Lepisosteus oculatus: one gene and its partners. The protein of the gene in region 1 interacts with the protein of each later gene in a pairwise test. Links are inferred from orthologs where the notes say so. Each region holds a gene or a part of one and is shown in the gene's direction. Other genes may lie near its edges. The genes, in order: c6h1orf35, thap1, srrm4 and stac3.

The links.
Region 2: the proteins of c6h1orf35 (region 1) and thap1 interact in binary tests that used the Homo sapiens proteins (3 or more experiments, as listed by UniProt). The two-hybrid records come from large-scale screens. The link is inferred for Lepisosteus oculatus from reciprocal best matches to the Homo sapiens genes C1orf35 and THAP1.
Region 3: the proteins of c6h1orf35 (region 1) and srrm4 interact in binary tests that used the Homo sapiens proteins (3 or more experiments, as listed by UniProt). The link is inferred for Lepisosteus oculatus from reciprocal best matches to the Homo sapiens genes C1orf35 and SRRM4.
Region 4: the proteins of c6h1orf35 (region 1) and stac3 interact in binary tests that used the Homo sapiens proteins (3 or more experiments, as listed by UniProt). The two-hybrid records come from large-scale screens. The link is inferred for Lepisosteus oculatus from reciprocal best matches to the Homo sapiens genes C1orf35 and STAC3.

The regions. Positions count from the first base shown.
Region 1 is NC_090701.1:29,716,003-29,723,115, forward strand, and holds the start of c6h1orf35 (multiple myeloma tumor-associated protein 2), read left to right. Parts: upstream 1-4,095; 5' UTR 4,096-4,536; coding exon 4,537-4,633; intron 4,634-4,895; coding exon of another isoform or gene 4,896-4,920; exon of another isoform or gene 4,921-5,057; intron 5,058-6,542; coding exon 6,543-6,693; intron 6,694-7,113. Other genes in the region: guk1a (guanylate kinase), read right to left, coding at 3,064-3,097.
Region 2 is NC_090698.1:64,312,305-64,319,223, reverse strand, and holds the start of thap1 (THAP domain-containing protein 1), read left to right. Parts: upstream 1-3,906; 5' UTR 3,907-4,090; coding exon 4,091-4,161; intron 4,162-4,195; exon of another isoform or gene 4,196-4,345; coding exon of another isoform or gene 4,346-4,347; intron 4,348-5,160; coding exon 5,161-5,356; intron 5,357-6,669; coding exon 6,670-6,919. UniProt on the Homo sapiens protein: DNA-binding transcription regulator that regulates endothelial cell proliferation and G1/S cell-cycle progression.
Region 3 is NC_090717.1:4,265,983-4,272,820, reverse strand, and holds the start of srrm4 (serine/arginine repetitive matrix protein 4), read left to right. Parts: upstream 1-3,834; 5' UTR 3,835-4,427; coding exon 4,428-4,558; intron 4,559-6,838. UniProt on the Homo sapiens protein: Splicing factor specifically required for neural cell differentiation.
Region 4 is NC_090696.1:18,376,346-18,383,488, forward strand, and holds the start of stac3 (SH3 and cysteine-rich domain-containing protein 3), read left to right. Parts: upstream 1-4,133; 5' UTR 4,134-4,355; intron 4,356-4,772; exon of another isoform or gene 4,773-4,851; intron 4,852-5,712; 5' UTR 5,713-5,775; coding exon 5,776-5,792; intron 5,793-7,143. Other genes in the region: R3H domain-containing protein 2, read left to right, coding at 349-665. UniProt on the Homo sapiens protein: Required for normal excitation-contraction coupling in skeletal muscle and for normal muscle contraction in response to membrane depolarization. Required for normal Ca(2+) release from the sarcplasmic reticulum, which ultimately leads to muscle contraction.

The DNA.
Region 1 (7,113 bases):
TGAGAATTAACCGGAGGATCAAAAAGGAATTGCATTTAAAACAGACAATATCAGGTGCCTCTTTACACATAGTGTTGTAGGAGTCTGGAACAAGATTCCCGGCCATGCTTTCAAAGCTGATGCCCTGGCTCCTTTCAAAAAATGATTGGATAGGATCATTGGATAACTTAGCTACTAGCTACCAGCACCCACTCAAGCTAGGTGGGCTAAATGATCTTTTTGTAAGCAGTGTATACCAGGTTTCAAAGGTAGCCTTCAAACCATTAATTTTTTTTAAAGTTCTGAAACAATTTATCTACAGTATAATCAATTAAACAGGTGTTGTGTTTATTTATGTAATTTACTGAGCACTTGTAACAAAGATCAGAACATCCTTAAGCCCTCAAGGACCAGAGTTTCCTTAACTGAAACATTCATCCATCCATTTTCTGGGAGGGAGGGAACCGGAAACTCACACGAACACAAAGTTTCCTCTCACACACTCCACACAGACAGCACCCCAGGTCTGGAACTGAACCCAGGGACCCAGTGCTGCGAGGCAGCAGTGCTAATCACTGTACCGCTGTGCTGCCCTGCATTGAATCATCATTTGCTTATTTGATTAAATGACCCTAATTTCTAAATAACTGGGGATTTCGGGCTGACCTACAAAATAACTGGACTTCTGGACTCTCTCGGAATCCCGTCGTGTGTTCTTAAAATAGCCGATGTAGTGGGACATTCTATTCATTAAATGCTACTGGACACAGTTAACATAAGTTAACAGAACAACTGAAGTGTACTTTGCAAATGATTGAGATGAGACACACTTAGCAAAATGCAGGATGTACCTAATATAGTAAAGACAATGAAACATGTTGTGAATTCAGAGGTAGCCCATCAGACGTGGCTCATTTAAAATTTTTAGAAGCCCAAACTATAGCAGAGTTTAAAAGGGAATATAAAGATAAGGTAAGCTAAATTTATAGGCTTAAATTACAATTTTAGCTAGACATTTGCTGTACTGGTACAAAGGTAAAAATGTAATATCATGGCAATATTATGGTAAGTTACATATGTTCCACAATGTCATACATTAGTAAAAGATCTAATTAGATTAGGGTCTAAAATGATGTACTGCAGACACTAATGCAGGGCTGGAATCAAAGAAAAGAACAAGACTCATGTAGAAGGAACAGTAAATTTACAGCATATTGCCATGTTGTTTTTCACACTAAATGAAACCAAATCAGAAACAGATCCAGTTCAGTTCAATTACTATGGTAAGCCCTCTCACAAAAGCACGAAAAACCAACCTGGGAGTGCAATTTTATTTTTCATCTTTGTAACAATTTCTGTATCATGATTTTTATACAGTATGTGAACAGGAATCTGAACTCTGCCTAGCAGCAGTTCATCTGGACACAAGGTCAGGATTTTTTCCTGTCATGAGTTTTTATACTCAATGAATTAAAAAAAGCTATTTCACAATTAGGTCAAACACCACGGGAAACAATTTAAATCATGACTTTACTATTAAATGCATGTGATCAATATTTCCCACTGACGGAGTTCATCATGTGTGATTCATTAAGAGCCACATGCTGTCTGCTGCTGAATAAATGATTTATATGTAAATGTTTTAAACAAAAAGGCTAAATGAATGACTGGACAAAATCATGGCAAAAACTGAAGTTTAAATATTGAGCAGTTTAAGTATATTAAGCTCTAAATGTACTGATCAGACCTCAAAGATAGTATAGCCTTAGAAAGAGTTCAAAGAGCAATAGAAAAATGACTGGTTTTAAGAGACAGTCAAAAGTAGACAGGATGAAGGAGCAAAATCTATTTAGTCTTTTGTTGAGAGATGATGAGAGGCGATTTGATCCTAGAATACAAAACCCTGTATAGATAGGTTCAACCTAGGGGACCATTTCACACAGAATAGTCTCCTCTCATGCATATGTTCTAAACAAAATTTACTACATGGGTGGCGAACAATGTTAGACTCGTATGTTCTTTGCATTGCACGCATTTTAAAAGTCAATCATGTGAAAAATAGTCCTGTTTAGACCTAAATTACTTATGATCATCTGGACCTGTAGATACTGTAGACGTCTGATAATAGTTCAATACATTGGACTTCCACCAATCACAGTAAGAGGTTCAGAACATAAAATTCAGACAATCCCGGACTACATAAAGTCTTCTGTGTAGCTTTAGGATCTTAATAATAATAATAATAATAATTGCTTACACTTATATAGTGCCTCTCTGGACACTCCACTCAAAGCGCTTTACGGGTAATGGGGCTCCCCTCCACCACCACCAATGTGCAGCCCCACCTGGATCTTGGTTACTATTTCTTAATTTTTTTCCACAAGGATTTCTTCTTGGGGCTCAAAGAATGATCACGCGGAGATCATAAGCATTAAAATGGCATTCACCGTTTCCTCCACTCTTGTTTTTTGTTTGACTAATTCACGCCTAGGTGTGGCGCTGACTAGGTACATTATCCTTATCAGGAAGCTGTGGGAAAGCTCAAATCCTGTATCAGTCACAGCTGATATAAAGGAAGAAAAGTAAACTTTGCGTTATCTTGCCTTAGTTGTGATCCTGCAAAGCACAGAATTCATGAAATCTCAAGAGAAAGTCAAACAACCAGCTGGACGTACAAACCTGTAACAAAAAGGCCATTTATTACAGTTAACCCTATAAGTAACAAAACACTTACATGCGACCATCAATGAAACTGTAGTCAATACGGGGGGAGAGATAATAGGAAACGGGAACAACAGAGTAAGAGAAACTTCACCGGGCGCAACGTGCCTTTTGAATAACATCCCATTTAGTACACTTACACATACACAACTCTAGTTTAATTAACTCTCAGCAAACCGAAAACAAAAACTAACTATAGCGTTTTACGCTAGGGTATACACTACCTTGTTAATCTCAAAATATTGAAAACGAAGAGCTCTAAAAGACAACGCAAAAGCCTTTTGCATCCTCAAATGCAGCGTGGTACTGTACGACATTGAATAATGAAAGGCAAGTCTTCTTTCATAAACGTTTCGAGCCTACCTGAAAGAAGTCTGGAGAAAATCTTCTGATACATGTGAGATAGATGTAACACAAGAGCTCAAGACTATTTTCCCCACCTCTCCTTCCCCTTTCCGCAATTGTAGTATTCTCGCATGAGCTCCATTAAATTACGATGCTGTACTTCGACGTCATCACAGTGAGACAAAGACAGTGTGTTGCTGTGGTTACTCGTCGCGTCTACGCGTCTTAAAGTTATAAATCCTACTGTAGCACTTGAATATCAAACTATTTCGTAAGCCTAGAAAAGAAACACCGTTAAAATAAATATAATAGAAATTAAGACGTGTCTGTAATGTATGCGTTACAACAACCATATAATATATAAATCGATTTGCCATGTGTCACCATATCGGTTAGTTAAATTTAATTGTATATGACAGTGTTAACTATTAAAGTTCCCGATGCCATTAGCCACCTCTGAATCATTCTAGTTTAATTCGTTTACGAATATGCTCCCTCTATCGGGAAAACACATAGCGTTTCTTCAGATAACTAGGGATTATTTTTATCCAGTAAAGCAGACCGCTTATTATAGCCACATAACGACTTCATACTTTCCAGATTGGCACTGACTGCAAGAGCAGAACAAAACAAATACACGTCAGCTGTCAGTGACTGCTGCAGGGAAATACACCACTGCGCAAAAAGGCGGCTGAAAATGAAAATGAGAGGCTTAAGAAAGAACAGTTCAAACTAAAAAATACCTTAGTAAAAGTTATTTTAAACAATAATATTGTAATGAATAATTAACAGCAAAGCAGACGAATACAACACGGTTACTGATTAGAACAGTTGTGTAAAATGGTTTGCTTTAAAACATAAACTGGATGAATTTAAAATCATATAAAATGAAGCTCATTTAAAATAGATAACGAATAAGCAATTTACATTTAGCGTCATTGATGTCAATACTTAATCTACTGCATACCATTTATTACCCAATTCAGAACCTATGTATTGTGTACGTACTAAATGCAGCACCTATGTATTATGTGCGTACTTAAATATTGTAACCTCTCAGTTACGATGAACAACATTAGTTGCCATACATTCAGCCAAACCCTAGCTTAGTTGAAATGGGAGTCAGAACTGCAGTGACTGCAGGCGGAGGGAAGAATTAGCGCCTAGTGGTGGCGAAGAGTAGACCGCGGATAACCAGTGCTGAATTAGTAACAGTCTAGCACGCTGCAGTCAAGAAATCGCGTGGACACATAATTTACACCGTATATGTGTACATTATTTTATGTTAAAAATCAGAATCCTGACTTTCGGTTTCTCCTCTACCCATAACAGCAGCCTGGCTCAAAGCCACTTAAACCTGAAGGAACCCGGAGTATTTTTACAGGAAACTCCCCGGATTGAACAGGCCGCACAATAGAGAAATGCGCATGTAGCCAAATAGTATTGTTATTAAGGCTTTCCGAAATTTGTTATTTTACTTATACAAAAAAGATGTTTGGTTCTTCGAGATCCGGTGGCGTGAGAGGTGGCCAAGACCAATTCAACTGGGATGATGTGAAGAGCGACAAACACAGAGAAAACTATCTTGGTAAGTCATGCACATACAAAGCAAACTTCGCAAGATGTACTTCCTCTTTTTGAATAAAACATCAATGCATGTTTTTTTTACATTTTTTTACTCGGAGATTAGAATAAACATAACAGAAATTATATTTTTAATAAAACCTGCAACGTGGTCCGAATTAATTACAACCTCGTGACTGTTGTAAAGCCGGAATTCTCCGAGAGTAAGAAGGAACAGGAGCATTATTAAAGGATAGGGTGATCACATTGACAGTTGCGATTCTTACCTTTTTCTTTTCGATATTCCTTCATCTCATAATCTTTGTGCTTTCTCTTAAAAATATAGTTCGCCCACACAGCTCGATTGACTAGGTCACGTTCACGGCTCGTCTATCGCCCTCTCTGAGCTGATGGGATGCCGATCCTCTCTGTCAGATACCCAAGTTACACGTTTCCTAAGGGCATTGGGTTGTCCATCGGTAGAGTGAGTTCTTTGTAATGCTGAGCAAGAGTATTGACCATTTTGCATTTAAGCATATTTTCAATTTCTCTTCAGTCGGTACTTTGTTGAACCATAGAGAAATCCGTTGAAGAACAGGGCTCTTGAAAAACCATTTGTCCCGCACCACTTCGATTACATTATACTATAGTAACGTTCCTTGTTGCTGCGAGTCTGTTATTACAAATACGTCTAATGTAACGCAGCCAGAAAAAAAGTCTAAATACAAAATCTAAAACGCTTTGAGTTAGATGAGGGTACTTGAGATACTTAAGTGTTTATGTTGACACATCATTAACATTTTATCAATATTGACTCACATCAATATTGACATGCAATTTAAACTATAAACGAAATGTTAGGATATATAGTTAAAAGTAGATTTTAAATAAAGGGATACTGGGTTAAAACTGTATTGTGTTTTTTGGTCACCAAGTTAAAGAAAGGGTATTGCTGCTTTGGAATACATCCAGAGGCGAGCAACTAGATAGGTTTCGGGCTTCCAAGGCTTCAGGGAATGTCCTGCACTGACAGGCTGACTGAACCGAGTCTCTTTAGTCTTGGAAAGAGATGGTTACGAGGAGACCAGATTCAGAATACTCAAATGCATTAACCAAGTCAACTCAGAAGATTTCTTCAGAATAAACGGTGAAACACAAATCTGAGAACAGAACTAGAAACTATGTGGAGGTGTATTTAAAACTGAGTATAGGAGGCACATCTTTACCACAAGGGTTGTGGGAGTATGGAACAAGCATATGGTTAAAGACTAACCCTGGCTTCGTTCATGAAATGGTTGGATAAGATCCTTAGATTAATTAGCTACCAACTTCTAAATAACATGGGGTCCACTCATTTGTAACCTTATGCTTTTTATGACTACAGTACCCGAAGTCAAATTCCACTTATAACTATTTCATTAAAGTTATTAGGGGAATAGGTTGCCCAAATGTATCTGCCTGTTTCATAAAACATTTCCCCTCACATCCAGGGAGAAACAGTGAAAATCTGCTGAAAGTGAAAGTCTGCTGAAGAAAAGTGTTTTTTTTTTTCCTCTGTGCAAGGGTCAGTTGTTCACCTTCAGGGCAAATGAGCTTTGAAATGTAACAGTTCCAATGTTCAACATCATTATACAAAGCCTACAGCAATATTTCTTTTTCCCAAATGTCCAAAATTATGTATTGTATTAATTTAGTTATATCATGTTTTTTATCAAAGAAAAGAAGGTCTCAAGTTCTAGTAGAGAAGAACCAACTTGTGTTACACTAACCACTTAATACAGTAATAGTAATGCGGTATCTGCTGCAGCTCAGAAGAGAGTGAGGTCCAGCCCATATATTCCTTTTCCCCCAAAAGACACTTGATGTAACTCCTAGTCAGGTCTGTCATGCTTGTCAAAGGCCTGAATGGTGTCCTCTCTGCTGTGCCCTTACAGGGAACTCTCTGATGGCACCAGTGGGCCGCTGGCAGAAGGGCCGGGATCTGACGTGGTACGCCAAGGATAAGAAGGGCCAGGCAGTGCTGTCGAGGGAGGAGGAGCTGGCGGCAGTGAGGCAGGCGGAGCAGGAGGCTCTGATGGCAGCTCTGTGAGTCACGCCCTGTCAGAACAGGGCAGGTGCATCTCTCCATGCATGCAGGGGCAGATGCTCACCGCTGTTAGTCCCACCTCTGTCATTTCAGTTGAAGCACATTTTGTCAGTTTTGGTGGTGTACCTCTCCCTGACGAGATCCTGACTGATCCAGGTATCACTAACTACTGACAGCACTATGTTACAAAACCCAATTCATTTTAAGTAAAGCATTAAATAGTTTACACGGCAATCAGCAGTAATGTCTTTCTATTGAGCTAGAGAATGAGTTAATTTGGTCTACAGACCCAGGTCCAAATTCCAAACTGTTTGTCCATTTTGCTGAGACTGCTCCTGTAATAATGCCAACAGATTAAATAAAGTTAAGCAACCGTCATTACAGCTGTTTTCTGGCCAAGTCTCAAGGTGCCATGACAC
Region 2 (6,919 bases), on another chromosome or scaffold:
ATGGTTTCTAACACAAAATGTCTGAAAGAGATCTTTGGATTCAATTAAGTACTAAATGGGCTGGAATGGCCAGATGGCCACCTAACCTTTCTAATGTCCTCACAGGACAAGTGTTTGGTGCCTTCAGTTCTCCAGATCATATTACAAACAAATCCAAAGTCAGACTATCACCCAGTTCTCAATAATTAAATATGAATAGATGCTATTAGGTTAAGCTATGCATCCTGAACAATATACAACCAGTATTTTTACACAATATATATATGGTCTTAAATATATTATGTTAATAATATATTATATATCATATATGTTAATACATGATGGTACATTAACCTACCAATCAACTTTGCACATTGCAAAATGTAAATAACCCCCATTCTCTCGAATTTATAGCACTGAAATGGCACCACAACAGCCTACTATATATTTCAATGAAAATCACAGCTATATACTGTATGACCACAATACAGTAGTGTGATGGCGCTAAAGGTATTGTGGCTACATATACTTTCCATATGACTGATAACCCACATAAGGGGGAATGATATCAACAAACCTAGACCATTTCAATCATACTAAAGAGATCTGAAAAAAACAAAGTTTATGTTTTACTTATTTAGTCTTGAAGATATGCTCACACACTTCTTCTCACACACTTTTTCTCACACACTTCTTCTTTGTTGACTATTTTGCCTTCGACAGGCAGGTGCTATAGCGTTCAGTGAAAGATAAACAGCGCTCCTTCACAAGCCAAGGATCAATAAGAAAAAGAGGAAGAACAATGAGTAAAAATAAAATTGGAGTTTCCCTTATTCACATGCCTAGTTCACCCAAGACCTCACAGTATGCAGAAGTTAAATTGAGTTCATTTACCTGTGTCATTTAGGTATAGCGCTGGTCTGCTGGTCAAGAAACACAAAATCCAAATTGCTGCCAGAGTACAGTGGAACATTAACTTTTATTTTCCCACTCAAAATATCTTACAAAGGAGCTCGACCTGTGCCTTCTGGGGGGTTTGAGTTCCTCCCAGGTGTTTATACACACATTTCTTCTTGAGTTCTCGACAGCATTTCTTCACCCTGTTTCCTGTTCAAAGCACACCCTGAGGTTCCTGTTTACACCGCAAAACAGAGCGACTGAGGTAAACACTGAGAATCGGCTTCTTCAGGAGGAAAGCAGCGAGGTTCATTTCATTGCTTTCATAACTGAACTAGACCCTTGCTACACAACACAACTCTTTCACAGACATAAGAATAGATTTAAAGAATCTGAAGCATTAAAGGAAGTTTAGTCCACTATGAGATATAAGGTATACTGTACAGTACATTTAAGTTTCAGCTTTAGGTTTTTGGGAATTCACATCTCTAAAGATCTAACCTGGACTGTGAACACTGACTCTATCATGAAGAAGGCTCAGCAGCGCCTTTATTTCTTGAGGTGCCTCAAGCGATGGGGGATGCCAATACATATGTTGGTGAACTTCTACCGCTGCACCATCGAGAGCGTCCTCACCAACGGGATCACCGTGTGGTATGGCAACACCTCTTCGCGCACTGCAGAGAATGGTCAATATGGCCCAGAAGATCATCGGCTGCGGTCTCACAGAGATTAAACAGCTCTATGAGGACCGCTGCCGTGGTAGAATTCTGGCCATCACAGAGGACAGTCACCACCCCGGGCATGAGCTCTTCACCCCACTGCCCTCAGGCAAGAGATATAAGAGCATACGGACACTTACCACCAGATTCTTCAATAGCTTCTATCCACAAGCAGTGAGACTGGCGACCACATTTAGCCATCCCCCTCGGACCACACCTACACCATCACCATCACCATCTACCTCTTTATGATTTCTTATCTATTGCACATCTCCAGTCATTGTTTACATATCTGTATTGTTTACATTCAAACTGTCTACATGTTTACTTGCACATTGTCTATTGTTTGTTTGTACATTGTCTTGATGCACTGTTTGCACTTTGTCTTGTTTTTTACACTTGTTTTACAATCGAGAGACTTTCTGTAAGTAAGAATTCCATTGTACCAGTACCGGTTACATACTGTATGGCAATAAAGTTCAAGTTCAAGGTGAATTGTTTGCAGGTTCTCAGGTAGCTATAAATATATATATGCATATTAAATATATAATCAATTTTAAAAATCCAATCAAATGATGGGAGACATCAAGCATGTATCCATACATCTTTCTGTAAATGAACAAACTACAGCTAGGCCTGGAATGTGATTCTGGACCCTTGACACTGGATTCAAAAATGTCATTTCTATCTTAAAAAGACCACATATCCTGAAGAAAGCCTGTTTGTATATAAGTATTTTGTATCATCCCATAACTCAAGTATATTCCTCCTGTAGTCAGCCTCACCACGCTTAACATGTCAAATGTTTTACATCAATAAGATGTCATAATATTGCTAATTGGAGTCCACTACAGTACATTTGGAGTAAAACCAAATCAGTAAAAATAAAGTAAAAATTTTTAAAAATACTGAATATATAAATTATGATATATAAGAAGTAGTTGCATCAAAGCAGTTTACATTTTAAGGTGGGAGGGGGAGGGGGGTAGTGTTGTACTTGAGCTATTGCACAACAGCCTACTCTGGGTTAAGTCACCTGGTTTACCTGGGGCCCTGCTTTCTGAGATTGCTGGGATTGCTCCGTGGTGCTGCTTTGCCCTCATCTTGCTTTCTCTCTGCACCTTGTAGGACATCCATCCATTTCCTGAGTGCTTTATCCAATGCAGGGTGACAGGGATTTTCTAGAGCAGTGGTTCCCAATCTTAGTCCCAGGGACCCACAACACATGTGCTAGTTTTTGTTCCACCTAAGTGCTCAATTAAGTAATTGTTAACCCTTAATAGACATAATAATAGGTTTAATTTGAACTCTTTGTTTTCAGTTCCTAAAAAAGTAGGAAGTTGCCTTTGACTGTATTTTGTTTCTTAAGCGACTTCAGTAGAACAAAAGAAAAAAGAAAAACATGCAGATGTTCTAACCAAGCAACTATAGGTTAAGGACTTATTTAAGCGAAGAAGGAGGACTGTGAATCCCTGGTCTAGAACATGAAATTGATTTGTCAAGAAATTTGAGCTGTAGGCCATTTGTGTGAATTCAAATGTTATTTTAAAATAACTCAGAAGGAAAATATTTTTTCAACAATTCAGATTTCAGAGCTACAATTATGATAAATTATATACAAGTGCCTTTAAAATGCACTTTGGGGTGTTAAGTCAAATAATCGCCTCTCCGTGCAGCCCCTGCCACACCAAGTTTCAAGTTTGTAGATCAATTTATCGTCAAGTATTAGGTCTTTCATGATGTAAACTGAGTTTATTTAGAAGACATACGCTTTAAAACTACAGTGCCACCTCGATATACTCATAAGGAAGCTGTTGTGAGCGTATAAAACCAATGAACCGTAAAAGAACGTCGTTTTATTTTTCACTTCCAAGTAAACCACGACCTCAAGATGTTTACCAATAAGACGCATTCGTCCTGGATTTTCTCCTCAAGATCTAATACCTCAACGCTTCACTTCACTTCCAATTTTGGAAACAGATAAGTTTTAAGGATACCCCACACCCCGAAAAAAAGAAATACTTTTCAAATTCTGTATGTACTGTATGTTCTGTTGTAATTAATACCTCTATGTCACCTCGCTGGAAAAAGCGGCTGCTATCATTCTAATGTGTGGCAGTGGTTCTTCAGGGAGGTCGCGATAACATAATGGATACAGGGCAATTATGCAGGTTAAATGTGTCACACGTCCACCAGATGCTAAAAGCTGCTTTAATGTACACGTCTCGTCCCCGGCACGTTGAGATTTGCCTTGTCTACGTGATTGTACACTGCAGGTGCGTCACCCGAAAAGAGAGGAGACTCTTCCACGGGAGTGACCAACCCGAAGCACGGATGCGCATCATGTGACAGCCAGCGAAGCCGTAGCAGCCATCTTGGAAACTGGAGAGGGACCTCTTCTGCGGAGAATTAATGAATAAATAGTAATAAAAAAAAGGCATTCGTAACATTTGCAGTCGCACCTGCGCTGCGCTTTATTTTCAAAGGCAGCGATGGTTCAGTCGTGTTCGGCGTACGGATGTAAAAACCGATATCACAAGGACAAGAACATTTCTTTTCACAAGTAAGTTAACTCCTGTCGGTCACCGCAGGGCGCAAGTACAGCTGTTTTCAAACAGTTTGCAATACTGAGGGGACAATCTCAAGTAGGCTACGGGGCAAACCGTGCCGTGATTTCTCCGCGAAGCCCAGCAAATGAATATAAAATCAGTTGATCGGAGATACAAAGCGTGTGTCCGCCGATCTTTATGTAAGCGAAATCAATGATTTGGGTATGACGTGCATTTCTGGGTTGCTACTCGTACATCGTGGTGCGTTATCCTCCGAGGAGCACATGACAGGGCAGTTTGTGTAATTACCACCTTTCAGATGGATACATTAAATTAAACGTATACCGAAATGGGAAAAAGGCAGTGTTTATGAAAAAGAATGGAAATGTAACACAGGGCTACCCTCGCTTTTATCTGTAAATGCCAGTTCTGACTGTCATGTTTGAAAATGGGACAGACGACGAGGTAGCGATTTTTGCAGCCCTGTTCTTCATATGAAGTATTAAATATTATTTGATGTGTGATTTTAGGGTACGAGTCAGTTTCCACACTCTCTGGAGCTGGAGACGTCTGGATATGTGGATATGACAAACTCTAGGACAGCTGAATGTTTAGGAGAGTCGGGGATATAGCAGTGCTGCACGGATTTGGATGTGGTCCGATTAAGTTACACCTTAATTTAATGTATTGCCCTGCGTTAAATTACATATGATCTGAACTAGCCAGAAGAGTGTAAGTGCCGTAGTTTTCGGTTGGCTTGCATTTTAAAGACTAAAGATTTTTTCATAACTATTTTAGATTGATTGCCCTGAACAACACAATAAACGTTATTGTTATAAATTCTCTTAGAAGTCAAATAAAGGTATACCATGTAAAAAATATGGAGGTATTACTATAAATCCTGGAGTGCTGGACTTGTGTTGTTCTCTCAAACGCCAAACAAAACAAAACAACATATGAATATATGAAGAGAAAGGCAATGCCTCTTGAAGTCGTGTTTGCTTATTCATCAGGTTTCCTCTTGCGCGGCCTGATGTGTGTGGAAAATGGGTCGCCGCGATGAGACGGAACAACTTCAAGCCCACTAAATACAGCAATATCTGCTCACAGCATTTCACCAAGGACTGCTTCAAACGCGAGTGCAACAACCGCGTGCTGAAGGAAAACGCGGTGCCCTCGCTCTTCTGTTTCAACAGGCTCGATGAAAAGGTAAAGCCAGGCGGAGAAGGTCACTTTTTCTTAAGAATTCAAACATGTGACATGCTCTGCTGTTTGTTTGTTTTTTCATCTTGTGTACAGTAGTTCAACTCCCGTGCTTTGCAATTGTTCAGTGTCTTCACAGGCTAAATGTTTTACAAACTTTCCAAGAACTCATAACATCCTGACTTACGTATGTTGTATATCGGCTGGAAATAGTGCTGTATTTCCAGCCTATGTTTTTTAATCGTAAGAAAAAACAACATTTAAGTAACTGATTACTGATCAACATTCAGCTAGGACTAGAATATAGGATATGGAGATTGGACCCCACCAATTGAACCAAGGGGCATGTTCAGACTCTTGTCTCATCCTAGGAAAATGAATGCTAGTGTTATTTAATTCATGACTGAGAATAACCTCTTGGGTTAAGGTTATTTCAAGTTCTTATGTCTCAGAATTCAAGAAAATCGTTGACTTTCTATTTTTAAGGAGAAAACAATTACCTTTATTTTTGAGCATCCTCTGGAATTTGGTGTCCTCCGTGTGCAGTCATTGTCACAGGATGCTCATATTCATATATGTGACATATGTGACAGGAAGAGGTACAGGGCCTTGCAAAAGTATTCAAACCCTTGTACAGTTCTCACTTATTGTTGTTATAAAGCTTGCAAGTCATGATACTTTGAAGTGGCAATTAATCTTTATGTACACAGCCTCCACACATTCAAAGCAACAAAAACAAAAAGAAAGAAGTAATTGATATGAAAGGAAAAAGTTATGTATTCAGACACTGAATACCTTGAGGTCCTTTATAGGCCCTTAACGTGCTGACTACAATATCTGGACTAATGAATTACCTGTGAAATGTAACCTTTTGTATTTTTGTATTGCACCTTGTTGGCAGGCAATATCAGTTTGTGCTCACTTGTGTATATCTATTTTTACGACTTGCGTAGTGCTGGTACGCTTTCACACTCGGCACCACAGGAAGAGTCTGAATTCTTTTGCAAGGCTCTGTAGTGTACATCAGCCTGTAAAATCTGTCGGGTATCATTTTTAAGCAACCATTTGTAAAAGCCAGGCCTTTGCTGGAATAGATCGAACTTTCTGATGGCAAGAAAAGAAAAAGAGAGCTTTGAACTCCAAGACTGAAGTGTTCTCATGTTCATGAGAAGCAGTACCTGGAAATATCTCCGTTGTTTGATGCTATCTCCGTTGGAGGATGATATATCATCCCACATTTGACTCCATCTGAAAGAGAGAGAAGTACTGTACATTCATGCTCACTGAACGCTTTTTTTTTTCCCCATGCAATCCTGTAGGATGAGGCCTTGGATGAGCAAACCCCACCAGAAATGACTCTTCCCCCTGAGCTGCACCTCACTGACTCTGAACAGTCACCACCACCACCTTCGCCACTGCCGGCTCAGGAACCCGGGCTGCCCCAGCTGCAGAACGTGGTGCAGATGGTTGTGCACCCAGCCCTGCTTCCCAGCATGTCCATATCCTGCGACCACAACTACACAGTGGAGGACACCGTGCAGCAGAAGAAGAGGATCCAGCAGCTGGAGG
Region 3 (6,838 bases), on another chromosome or scaffold:
ATTATCATGCTTTTTCTATGGGTCTTTTTAAGCCTAGTCTGCAGAATTGGATGCCAGTTAGTGTCAACTTAGGGAGTGATTGTGCGATATGAGCTCAACGGTTCAGGAGCACTTGGAAAGACAATTATGCATACTCCCCTTCACCCCTTTGTTGAGCCTTAATAAAACTTATGACAAGAACCAGTTTGCTGCTCTAAAAATACACAAACAGCAATTACCAAGGGCGGCCAACAAGCCTAAATTCACTTAGTGGAATTTTTCGAATATTTTTTAATGAAGGTCATAGACTCTCGTCAATGGTCATCACCTGATAGTTTCTGGCTTCTGTTTATTTAATTTGATCTGTGTTAATATTTATTAACAGAAATGAGATTCAGGGCACTGATTACAGATGGTACTTGGTGAAGCTCCCAAAACTGCAGGAGAATTGAGAAATCATTATAGAGCTCCCTCTAATTGAACAATATGAGAAATGTGAGTGCCTATGAAAATTGTCATGTTTTATTAATGCCACAAAATTTCCAAATATAATAACATTCTGTAGCCAGTAATTTACCAAGTACAGAACTGTAATGGGACCTTTGCTGTTCTTTCTGTTAAGAAACTTTATTGACATTAAATATAGATGCTTCTTACTTCTTTATTCAGCTCACAGATTGAATTAATGTTAATTATTTGTTACCAAAAAATCATGGATTGGCATTGCTCAGCTACTGATGTTTCTACATGAATGTTGGAGAACTGTAGAGAACATGTTAATATAAATCCCCTACACCTTATCTATCTCTGTAGCTAAGAAGCAGAAAGAGGGAGGGCTGGTGGAGAGCTACAGTATGCAGTTTAATTACCTAGGGAGATTGACTGCACAACATGTCTCTGCTCAATACCTCTGCAACAGCAAGAGGTGTAATTGAAAAGATTTCCTTTACTTTAACTGACTCATTTTGGAGTGCGACCGAAAACCGAGAAAGCATACACAAGCAAAACTAATCTAAAAAAAATATGAATCTGTAGAAATCTGACTCTGGCCTGGGGTCATAACTCCTGACCAGGCTTGAGTGAATTTTAAACCGACACCTGCTGTTGTACATGATATCTCAGAAATAGCTGAAAAGTGAGATAACATAATCAGAAGGAGCCACTAGACCACAAGGGAAATGATCACTCTTAAACCCCCATTCATAGCAACAGCATGGCTGGACGTACAGAGCCTATAAAACCCTCTGTAACACTGTTGTGGGAAATACGCCTTATATGTCTCCTTCAATGTTCTCAGGAAATCGCCATTTCCGTTACAATTAAACTAATCTCAAACCTTAAATGGGATTTGATTCCTGCATCCATACAAATCCAAAGAAAAAGCATTACGTTCTTGTGTCAGCACCAGTGCTTAATACTCATCTACTTGGCTGTTGCTTTAGGAATTCTTTCTTCCTTCACTTTGAAGTGTCAATGTGTGCACTTCTTCAAATGCCACAACTCGTTAGCATGTCTGACAATGAAGTGAATATGGTAGTAGTGTGAACAATACAGTTGGCTACTTATAGATCTATGCAGAATCATATTAGTCAATATTAGTTTGTGGATTCAGATTCCAGGTGGGGCCTCCTGTTGTACCCATGAGCTAGGTACAGTACTTCATTCAGACTACTCCACTAAAAAGTTAATCTGTATAAATAAATACTAATTTTAGTCGCTTAAGTTAAAACCATTACCCACATAAGACACTAAAAATAGTTCTTTATCCTTTCCTAAATGGTTAAACACCAACAGTAAAAGGTGTCCTTCTTCTAAGTTTAAATTTAGAAGGTGCACAGTACACGATTGTGACATTTTGGAATATTATTATTTTCAATAATATATATATATACACTGTATGCATTGAGGCTTGTTTCCTAAATGCTTAGGAAACCATTTTATGCTAAGGAAAAGAGTAAAGTTTCCCCATTTTTTGCCATCTCATTAAGTTTTTATTCTATGACCTAGTTCCCTCTGAAAGAAAGATTTGACAGGAAGGTTTTCTGCCTTGAGCAGACCTGATTGGGCTCAGGTGTGTGAGGTTTGTAGATTGAAAAGGGGTTCAAAAAAAGCAATTGCAAAAAACATGACCAAATGTAAATGCAATACCTTATCATCATATTTCAGACTGGACATACTGGAGTCATAGAATGCTCTGCTAATCACAGTTTGCATTTTAATGAAGGCAGTCAAAGTTAAACGCCCAGGAGCCAACCACATTACACTGTTGTTAGTAGCTTTGACGCATTAATCCATACTGCATTTTACACTTGGTAGTGACTTTCTAAAATTGCAAAACCTAAATACTAACTCAAGGGATCCATTGGAAGCAATGTGGTACAATTAAAGAATACTGGAAAAAACACAAATAGTTATTTTGAAATAACACTTTAGTTCTTTATTTCCTAATTACCATTTTGTGCCAGACCTAAGCATTGAGTAAATCAGAAAAAAGGACCCAAAGATTGTATTGAAAATGTTTATCAATTCAAAACATAAATACATTGAGTAGAGTCTACTGTAATATATTGTGTTTTTAGAGGCAACACGCTACACAATACACATGGAGATATGTAGTCTGGATAAGAAGACTATCTCTGTCTCTTTTGGGTTTAGGAGCTGGATGCTTTTCATGTATCTCTGCCAATATCTTTGTTTTTTTAGCAGATAAAATATGAACATATTCATGGCTCAAGATATGTGCTCTTTGGAACCTTAGGAGCCCTGGAAATGGGATCATAATCCAAAATTGTGTAGCAGACCACTGAACAAGATCTTCCAGTATCCAGGTTGGTAATAGAAATGTGGGCACTCAGCTGTAGTAAACCTATCTGCTATTGCTGGCTCCGTGAAATTCACTGTTGCATATATTTAGTGTACTGTATATTTTAGTGTTAAAATACTAAAATAAAATCCTATTTATAACATCTGTAAAGTATTTAAACCAATTTGCAGTTCTTTCAACAAGACAGCAACTAGCAACTAGGCTCCGTGAAATTCACTGTTGCATATATTTAGTGTACTGTATATTTTAGTGTTAAAATACTGTAAGAAAATCCTATTTATAACATCTGTAAAGTATTTAAACCAATTTACAGTTCTTTCAACAAGACAGCAACTAGAAGTTAAAAATATGTCGAATACATTTAAAATGTCTTGATTTATAAAAAAAACACTTATAACACTTTCACCACCACACTTTCTTGTAGCATTTTACATCACACATCTATGTTCAGTAAAGAAGAAAAAGTAGTAGTGCTTACTTTTTCAGTTTCAGACTAAAATCCTTTTACTGAATGCTTCGGCCTTGGTTTTTTAAGATTCCAGATAATTCTGATGTACATTCACTTAACACAATTGGTCAGTACCTTTTTTAATCAACGCCAAGAGCATGAAGCTAAATTGGAACATTATACTCATTTTTAACATGGAATTGAGCAAAAACAGATAAATGAATCCGTAACTTTTTACATCTATCACAGAGGATATCATAGAGCATATGAGGTGGTTTGAGAATTTGCTTTATCATAAGACAAAAGGCTGTTATTCTGGCTTCTCTTCCATCCTTGAGCACCTCTGGGTCAAAGAGAAATGACACACAGGCATTGTGGGAAGTTTCAGGCAATTCCCCCTGAGGCATTGTGTCAGGCACACGTAATGCCTATTCTCCAAAACCTGCTGCCTTTTGTTATGCTGATGGAACCAGCAGGCTCCGCTTTTTTGTTGAAGACTGAGAGACAGAGTAAGAGGAGAGAGAGAGGAGAGAGAGAGAGAGAAAAGACATCCTACTCTGGTGACCCAACCCCAGCTTCAACGTCAGAGCCTACAAGAGACAAAACAAGAGATCGTCAGCTGGGCACATACATCCACACACACGCACACTCTCCCAGCCACACGACACTACACTGTCCTTGGCTACGCACTGGCTTTCTCTTCGAAGCTCACATCCAGCGGCACGGACAGAGCCTCCGCAGACTGAACTCATGGTGAGTGGACTGGACACTGGCTTGCCTCCCCTGAACCAAGGCAAAGCAGGTGACAGCAAGAAATCCATGGGCAAATGAACAGAAGGCAAGGGATGGTGAAAATAATGATAACCCTTAAATAAATGGTGCGTCGTGCAGCCTTTGTGACATCACATTGTCTCTAGTGGAGCAAGCATTATCACATGGACAGAAAGACAGGAAACGGCAGTAACTGATTGCTCCTTGGCATTTGAAGAGACTTAAAGGCTTTTGCGGCAGCTCTGGGCTTCAGTATTTGGACAGCTCCCTTGCTCAGGAGTGTTGTGTGTGAGAAGCAGCAGCAAGCAGGCGGCGACTGAAGCTTCAGCAGCAGCCTTGTCAGCCACTTCCCCCCATTACTTCCAGCCTTCGGTCACACGAGCCCAGTCTGAAGAGCAGCAAGCCATGGCCAGCGTGCAGCAAGGAGAGAAGCAGCTCTTTGAAAAGTTCTGGAAGGGAACCTTCAAAGCTGTGGCCACTCCGAGACCAGAAAGCATCATTGTAGCCAGTATAACAGCCAGAAGGACTTTGAGCAAGTAAGTGCCTTCATTTCAAACCGATCCACTTAACTATACCTTTAACTTATGAGAAGAATAGGGCTATTTGTTGAATTTAAAACCGAACTTAAGACACATGGTTCGGATTAATTCGTTTCCTTGATTAATTTCGGATACATTTGTCTACTTTTTTTCAGTTAATTGATTCTGTCTGAGTTGCTGAGTGCATCATGTTATAAACAAAATATGAAAATAGAAAAAGGCCCAGAGGAACAGGCTGTCTTTAAAAGCTTTTTGGCTCCACACCTAACTTTCCTCATAACTGGCAATGGTTAATAAATTACACATCTTTGGGAAACGTCTGCGTGACCTGCCAAAAAGGGGCAAACTGTGTAAAAACTGCATTTTACCTACAAAAATTGATGAGTTTTCTGCCTTAAGATCTGAACTGTCTTCTGCCTTTGTCAGATATGAGCTGCTCTACTTATTTATTCTTTTTTTCACCAGTATCACAAAGGTGACTTGTTGGATTATCAGCAGCTAGCATTGGCAAGTGAAAAGTGATTTGTGATTCATTTCAAACCACTGTGTGCTCTGCCAGTATCTCTTATCCCAGCTTTGCTGTCTTTACATTCCGTAAAGATCCAGCGCTGACAACTCTTATCTCACCCAATCCTAATTCAGTCATTGGGAGGGCAGACCGTTATGAGAGGCTCATAAATGTTGACTGAAGTCTGCAGAAACCTTCTTTGCCATACAAAGTTGTAGCCAGTTTGTGTAGTTAGCAGATGAGCACTGCAGAATATAATACATTTGAGCATTACAATGTTTTTCAGGTCTTCCGATATTTTTATTTTTCAAACTATTCAGAGTTAAAACCCGTTTCTCTTTAAAATGATGACAGGCAAGCAACATTTAGTTGTTTTTTTCAAACCACTTGCATTATTTTAGAAATGTGGCTTTTATGTGAGTAAATAAGTGAATTAGCTTGTAAAATAAACATACTGTATTTCTTCTTAATGTTTTGAATCAGAGGGGGCATAAGAGACACTAAACGTTTACAAAAGTACTAATGATATAAAATTCCCTAACTGATATATGTATGTAGTTAGCTACTCTTTGAATGTGTCAATATATTTTCCTAAAAAATAAATATCAAGACATGACAGTTTGCTAATACCTTACTTGCTTGGTGAAGATGATTACTTGTTTTTTTTAGGTAAGCTTCTTATTTTAACAAAACTGACTGATGAATTATAAGCAATTTGTACAGAAAATGTGAAATAAGGGAAATACTCCCTTCTGACAGAATAAGGGCTTTTCTTTGAAACTAATCTAGTATTTCAATTATATATTCAGCTGCATTTCCATAGCATAGTATAATCCAAATTTAATTACTTGTGAGAGTGGTTTTCCAGAACAAGCACAACAATAATAAAGTCTGCCCTCTGTTATTTTCTTATTATAGCTATATGGTTTCTATAATTTCTCTACATAAAGTGTAACCGAGCAATTTCAAACATGAATCCTGTCTGAATACTATAGAATCCAATATATTCAGTGTGATAGTAAAACATCATACAGTATACAGTATACCCCAGTAAAATTATGATCTTCATTCTTGTCACTTTTGCATTGTTTGATAGTTGTGCTCGATCTAACTCACCTCTTGTGTGTTTGAGAGGATGTTAGCAGGTGTGGCACACAGATTACAAACCCAGCATCCTTTTTAAAAATCACATGTAACTAAGCCACCGTTAAGCTTTGGAAGGGTTTTCTTTCTCTTTATTGTATCCATTCTTAAATACACACTAGAACACAGAGAAGACCCTGAGGAACTTATGCTGGGAAAGATCCAAAGCCATTCATTGTTTAAAGGGAAATATCTCTTTCAACAGAATTTGTGGGTACTGTAATAGCAGATCGAAAGCATTCATCCCCACTGAGTAAGCAGGCCTCAATCTTCCACTTTGCTGAAGTAACATACTGCAGTGCATAAGCACTGAACTGGGCATTTGACAATGCTTGATAGCAGAGAAAAAGGAAACTACAGAATGGGGATGTGTAATTATTGCCCTTTCATTTTCTATGTATTGTCCTTTTCTTCAAACGTCACTGGAGCTGACTATAGCCTCCCCTGCTGACTGCCGTTGGGTAATTAGAGAGGTACCCCTCCCCCCACCCTCTTTCAACTCTGGGGGAAAAAAGGGTGATGTGTTCACGAACACTCCAGCTGGAGGGTTTCTCTCTGGGTCATTATATCCTGCAAGCTGTTTTGTACCAGGGTGAGGCTCATTAAAAATGCAACCAGTTTTGGAG
Region 4 (7,143 bases), on another chromosome or scaffold:
GTGACACCCATGCATCATGGAAATGTTTCTGGCCTTTCCAGGAATCCAGGAATGCTTGACATGATTCAATAAGGACATCACAACAAATTTCTCATCTGGAATTATGGGAATTGGCAGTAAAAAAATAAAAAATGCCGCCTTCATGCTTGTATGACTGAGGGAGGAGGAGGGCAAAGTTTTTCCTGGGGGAGAAGGTTAGGATCACGGGCATGTCAACAGGAGGCTTTCTGCAGGCTCCCCCGTCCAGTCCGAATGGGCTGTTTGCCGCGTGCGGCTGAAGGATTAGTGGGCCGCGGTGGCAGAGAGGTGAGGTTTCAGCCTGCCTGTGTTCTGTGCCACCCCCTGCAGTGGTCAGCCGCGTGCTGGAGGTGACGGACCTCCCCGAGGGCATCACGCGCACGGAGGCCGAGAAGCTCTTCAACCAGCTGGCCATGTCGGGCGCCAAGATCCAGTGGCTGAAGGACACGCAGGGCCGGGGCGACGGCGGGGGCGGCAAGGGCGACAACGACCCGGCGCACCTCTACACCGTGGTGGCCGTGTTCCCCAGCACCATGGCCGCCCAGAGCGCTTCCTTCAAACTCAATAACTCCACCAGCCGCTTCAAGCTGCGCGCCACCAAAAAGAACTATGACCTGCGGATTCTGGAGCGGGCCAGCTCGCAGTAGGGCAGCGGGGCAGGGTCGCGGCGGGGAAAACGAATCGTCTCGACAAAAGGGAGGAGAAGTTCCAGATTGGCGTACTCCAACTTTCTATTTTTTTTTATTTACCTTTGTTTTTTGGGTCTTTTTTTTTGTCAGAAGAGCACACAAGACACGCGAGCATGCGTGCGGTTTGATGCGCGTATGTGTGTGGAGCATTTACTGACCGTGTGCGCGTGCCCACCCACCCACACGCACGTACGATGACCCGACGCGCGGCGCACACGAGGACACACTGGACAGTCGACCTCACTTTACCCACAATCCCCCACCCCACCCCCCAAACTTGTCCTCCATCTTTTATTTTCTGCTCCTCTGCTACCTCCCCCTTGTCCTGTTTTCTCTACTCAAACTCCCGGTCTCTTGCACCCTCACCTTCCCTTCTCACTCATACTCACGACTTCTTCCCTCTCCTGGCGCACTCTCGCTCTCTCTCACTGTAGCGCACACCTCTCTCTCTCTCTCGTTCTCTCTTGGCTGCCTCCGTTGGCTTCTGTTTGCCTTACTACTGCTGTGGCTTCATGTGCTGCGCTGTTGATCTTTTCTTTATTCTGTTTCTTCGTTCGTTTTCGTTTTTTTGTTTTCTGTTTTTTTTTGGTTGAATATATTTATATAAGTGATTTAAGGATTTAAAAATATATATATTCAGTGATTTCAGTGGAAGAGTTTATCCCTCCCGTCCTCACCACACACTCTCGCCCTGCTCATTCTCAGCCCCTCGCTTTCCCCTTCCCCTGCCTTGCCTCTTCTTCCTCCATCTTCCTGCTCCTCCTCCTTGATCTTTTCTCTTTCTTGTGTTTGCGTTTTTCGTTGACAGCTGTGCAGAACGTATCAGAAGAAGTATTTAAAAAGTGCACAATTGATTGCATATGTCTACTGTAAATTTTATTTAATCTGTTATTTTTGTTTTTAAAAATATAAAAGTGAAAAAAAAACCCTGCCTGCCTGTTTGGTCTCTCTTTTTTCCCCACTCCTCCTGTTTCTCTTTCGAACAGTGCTCTGGAGGAATTCAGTGGAAGCCTACATCCAGAAGAGCATTTGTTAAAGGCAGACTTGCAGAAGTGCCAGTTTCTCCCAAAGTTTCCATTTAAAATGATCTTTTTATTGTAATGGATCAGTTACTGCCCAGTGCTTGAACTGTATTGTTTAGTGTTCGCAACCTAAAACTCACTCGGTTTGTTTTTCAAGCTCATATTCCTAAAAAAGACACACTTGTAGAAACTGATGACCACAACCCCTAAACGTGAGTAAGCAAGAATAGAATGATGTTTTTTTTTTTCAAATAGTTTCCACATTGCTTATACTTGCTTGCATTTATCTCTGCCCCCCCCCCACAAATGGTCCTGTGTGCTTCACACACAGGGGGGAGCCACATCATCTCCCTCTGCAGTGCTGCACCCACCTGGCCGCCCTGCACCAGCGCGAGTGAGAAATTCCCCCCCAGACTGAATTATGAGATGGGCAGGGGGATTTAAGTGGGTAGGTTTTGCAACATGAGCAAACATTTAAGGAGCAGGCAAGTGGGAAAGAGGGTTCCCAAGAGGAGCTGATCTGGACTGAAGCCATAGCAATCCGTAGTGTCGTAGAGTTCTTCCAAGAAGAAGCAAAAACCAAGTCTGCCAGAATCGGGGAAATGCTTTCAGTGTGGTCCCAGCCAGTTTGTCTGCAACGGCTCCTTTAGAAAGGCTATAGACCTCGTCTGCTCCTCCCACACCCTCCCCTTCAATTCATACTGATCCAGTTATTGACCAGTCTCTGATTTAGAAACTTATGCTTTGTAGGGAATGTTAATATGTATGTTTATAAAGATCTGTAGAGAAGTATTTAAATAGTTCAGGTCAAAGGATAATCAGTTTGGTTGCATGATCACTGCCTGGGGTCTAACAAAGACCTGAAAGCTCCTGGGAAGTGGAGCCTTACGCTGTTAACAGGCGGTAATGGGGAGTGGAAACTAGTAGACATTGTATTGACAGGTCAGACCAGCCCTGAGATTGATATCCTGTGGTAAAGACACTGGAACGGACTGGGGAAGCCATTGTCCAGGGGTGCCAGTCACACCTGTCTCTCAAAGATTAGTATGACCATGATTCGTTGAATTTGTATAGCACTTTCCTCCCCAAATGCCTTCGAAGCCTTTAATATGCGGGAAGGCACCTACTTCCAGACACTGAAGTGCACTCCCTCCAGCAGCCATCCTGCACAAGTGATCAGGTGCGCAGGTGAGAAACCTCAATCAAGGTGCCATGCTTTAGCAACATCAATAAGACATTGTCCTGCTGAGGTAAGTGTAATTGGAGGGCATGTGTGTTTTTGAATTCTATAGCTTTGGTTAGATCTGGAACTTGGTTTGGGCCCCGTTTTTCTGCGGGTTTGACAGACATCCAACCCACTGAAGCTCAGCAGGTGTGAGCCTGGCCTGTACCTGGAGGGGAGACCTCCTGGGAAAGCTAAAAGGTTGCTGCTGGAAGAGGTGTTAGTGGGGCCAGTAGGGAACGCTCATCCTGCAGACTGTGTGGGTCTTAATGTCCCAGTCTAGTGATGGGGACACTATATTGTAAAAAAGGCACCATCCATTGGATAAGATGTAAAACCGAGATCCTGACTCTGTGGTTATTAAAAATCACAGGGCATTTCTCAAAAAGAGTAGGGGTGTTGTCCTGGCCAGATTTTCCCCGGCTTTCGCCAATTGTGACCTCCTAATAATCCCCATCTATGAATTGGCTTCATTACTCTGTTCTCCTCCCCACTGATAGCTGATGTGTGTTGAGAGTACTGGCGCACTATGGCTGCTGTCTCATCACCCGGGGGGGCTGCACATTACCTGTAAAGCGCTTTGAGTGGAGTGTCCAGAAAAGGTTAGATAAATGTATTATAATGAGATGTCGTCTGTATTCATCTGTCCCATCACACACTGGAGTGTTTTAGGTCAGGTGGCTGATCGGCTGTACATTTCCTTTATTGCTGAAAGATTGGTGGTTTTGGACCAGATTAATAAAGTAGCTTTGACCCAACTTGATTGAAATTTAGAGTAGGAGGTAAAAGTGTTGATTCCATAGAAACCTGAACCTGGCCATCAGTGATCAAGATTTTGGTTAGGAGGCTTGACTTAACCTGTGCTAAGTACGCTTTTTAGAACACGTTGTGTTTGTTCTTGCATTGGTCTCCCTGTCGGTGTTTCTTTGTTTCATGGTTAATAAGCAATGAATACAGTAAATGTGGTCTGTCTAGAGAGTCTGAAATAATCCTTGACAACCTGTTGGCAAATTGTTAGTTCTTTCACAGTAACGACATGATAAAGGTGGGGATTGTCTCCCTCTGACAGACCCCTAGCCTGTCCCATCAGAGGTGTCTGATTTCCTGGTGTCAGCTCCTCGTTGCTCAATCCGTGTCAGCTGTTCCTGACTCCTCTGCACACGCGCGCACCCCCCTCTCCACAACACTCTGGTCCTCTGGCTTCAAAAACACCCCTCCTGTTGGAAGGGCCATTTGGAGAGTCAACCACAGCAAAACCCAGGGACAAAATTGTGCCGGACTGCGCTGCTGGTGTTAATATCACTGGCAAGTTCGAGCCCCTTTGGAAACCGCGCAGGAATTTCCAATTGGCGATTCCTTTCTGAAGAGACTAGAGCCACAGAGGGGAAGAGAAATCCCAAGGAGGTGAGAGGATTGTGTTTTTTTCCCCCGGGTGGGGCTCGTGTATTTTGCTTTGGCTTCAGAGCTGGACACCCCCTACGGCTCCTCTTCTTGTAGGAATCGTTCCTGTTGAGTCTCTCCGATTGCACAGGCGAAACAGAAATGCTGACTGGGGTTAGGAGAGGTGCTTGATTAAAATGCTCCGTGTGTAGCTCTGGTCCAATCTTTAATGCTCTGAGATTAAGCTCCAGTCGGACACCCCAGTGAGTGTTCTAGAGCGTTACTGTTGTAATTCAATCTGGGCTCCTGGGCCCACGATGCTCCGGTTTTAGTCATGTGGAGATCAGGTTACCCCCTAACCAGGAATAGAGCAGAGCAGTCTGAGCGCGAGTCACACACAGAGAGAGAGAGCGGGGCAGAGCTCATTGGTGTACAATCGGGAGAAAGAAGTGTTTGGAAACTGTTTATTCCCGTTGTTCTCCTTGGGCTGGCAAGGCTGGGCCGACCTGGAGGAGTGCTGGTCAGTCCTCGGACTGGTCGACCTGAACGACACCCGCCTTCCCTTCGCGCCGGCGGCCAGTAACACAGGAGGAGCGCTCCGCATGAGGAATTGTTTTCAGCTTGCCCAAGGCTTCGTTATCCCAGTTCCCAGTTTCACCGTGTGCTACTATCGGGGCTATCTTTATTCCATGACAGGGCTTCCCAATCCTGACCCTGGGGATCTGCTGGCGTTTGTTGCAGCTGAGCTCTTTACTCAAATGAGCCCTTAACTGAACCAACAAGTCGCTGGGCCAGGACCCCGCCAAGCTATGCTTGTCTGCTGAAAGGCTGGAGTCCTCGTGTTACTTAAATGCAATGGCTAACAGACAACCTCCTCCATGTTTAGGAACTGCAAACGACGAGTTCAGACCACACCTGTTATCATCAGGTGTGTTAAGGGTTCAATTACTTAACTGAGCGCTCAGGTGGAATATAACCCAGCAGATGTTTGGGTTCCCAGGATCAGGACCAGGACACCTGCACTTCTGCTACTAGTGCCAACACCACTACTGAAGCTATGTACTTGATATTGCAGCTGCCACAGCGGGTAGTTACCCTTCTGCAGCTGCTGTTTCTCCTGCCACACCTTCACCTACAGCTAGTGATCTACTGGTCCCTGCACTGCTGTCGTGACTGCCGCCATCTCTGCTTCTACTGCCGCGGCTACTACTCTCGCTGTCTGTAATGGATTTGTTCCTCATGTTATGCTAAAAGATGCAAAAGCACCTGTAACAAGTGTTCAAATTATACTAGTGGTCAACGTATTACCTGCATCAGTGCTAATGGCAGTGCAATGGTGTAATATAGAGCGTTTCTGTGTGTCTCTCCCCTCTCCTGGCAGGGTGTCCTGCTACCTCAGGAGTGGCCCCGTGCTTGAGAGCGAGGGAGACTTCCCCCAGCAGTGATGGCGCAGTACGACCAGTGAGTCCCGATTCCTCCGTCTTCCCGCCCAGTTTGCTCGTTGGGCAATGTGACTGATCTGATGAGCACAGTGCCTAGAGCCTCTAGCAGAGGGTGATCTTGCTGCACTGTCAAAACCCCACCCTGCCTGAGGTTTAGCAACATTGCAAGGACACGTGAAAACTGGGAGAAGATGGTCCAATTCAGCCAATCATTAACATAACATCACTTTATTAGCCCTCTACAATTTCTTGCATTAGGAATTAATCTTTTCGCAGACCCCAGCTTGCTCTCCATGAGACACAGACAGGGAGAGAGAAGCTGGGGGTCAGAGCGCAGGGTCAGCCAGTGTACAGCGCCCCTGGAGCAGTTGGGGTGAAGGGCCTTGCTCAGAGGAGTAGGATTCCTCTGCTGGCTGTGGGATTTGAACCGGCAACCTTCCAGCCACAGGCGCAGATCCTTAGCCACAGCGCCACAGCTCCGCCCATTAGATTAACTAGGTAGTTAGGAATGAAAACCTACAGTGCAATCCTGGACTAGAATTGTACAGCCCTTGAGAATCTGAATGCAGGAAGAAGCTCCGTGAAGGATGTGAACTGAGACAGTTCTGTTATCCTTGAAAAAGGCCTTGGAAGCCCATGCTGTCACCACGGTCTTCTTTAGGAACAGCAGTTTCCCTGCTGTCTCGTCGATTTGCGGTGAATACTATTATCTCTTACACCAGATCGTCACTGGAATTACAGGCTGCATTTTTCCTCATGCAGGTCCCTGCATTCCTGCACAGCTCTGTGCAGTTTTGCACAGCTGTAGAATGCCAGGCAGGTATTTCAGCACAGATCTGTGCAGGTGCTGGCTGCAAGGAACCCGGGTGACATTCTGACCCAATAGAGTAAAACCAAGGTCAAAAGTGGCCCTTACATAGTAATATATAATTATACCCTTTATTATTATATTACCTTTGAATGCTTGCATAATCCTGACCTCTACAATCAGTTGAATCCCTCTCAGACAAAAAGTAAATGCAATTTCGATCTTCTCTGCTCAGTATAGTTTGGAAAAAGCTGGTTCTCCTGAAGCCGAGTATGATGTCTGAGAACCTGCAGCCTTGGCCAGCAAGCGCAGTCTTCCATGCTCTGTGTGAACACAACCACACACTTATCTACTGTACACCCATCCATTTTCTTACCACGTATTCCAGTTCAGGGTTACAGGGGAGCCGGAGCCTGTCCTGGTAAGCAGTGGGCTAAAGCAGGACACATCTTGGATGAAACGCCAGTACATTACAGGGCAGATACTGTAGACACAAACACAGACGTAGACACACACTCGCTCACACCAGGGCCAACACTCCCAGAAGCCAATTAACCTACCA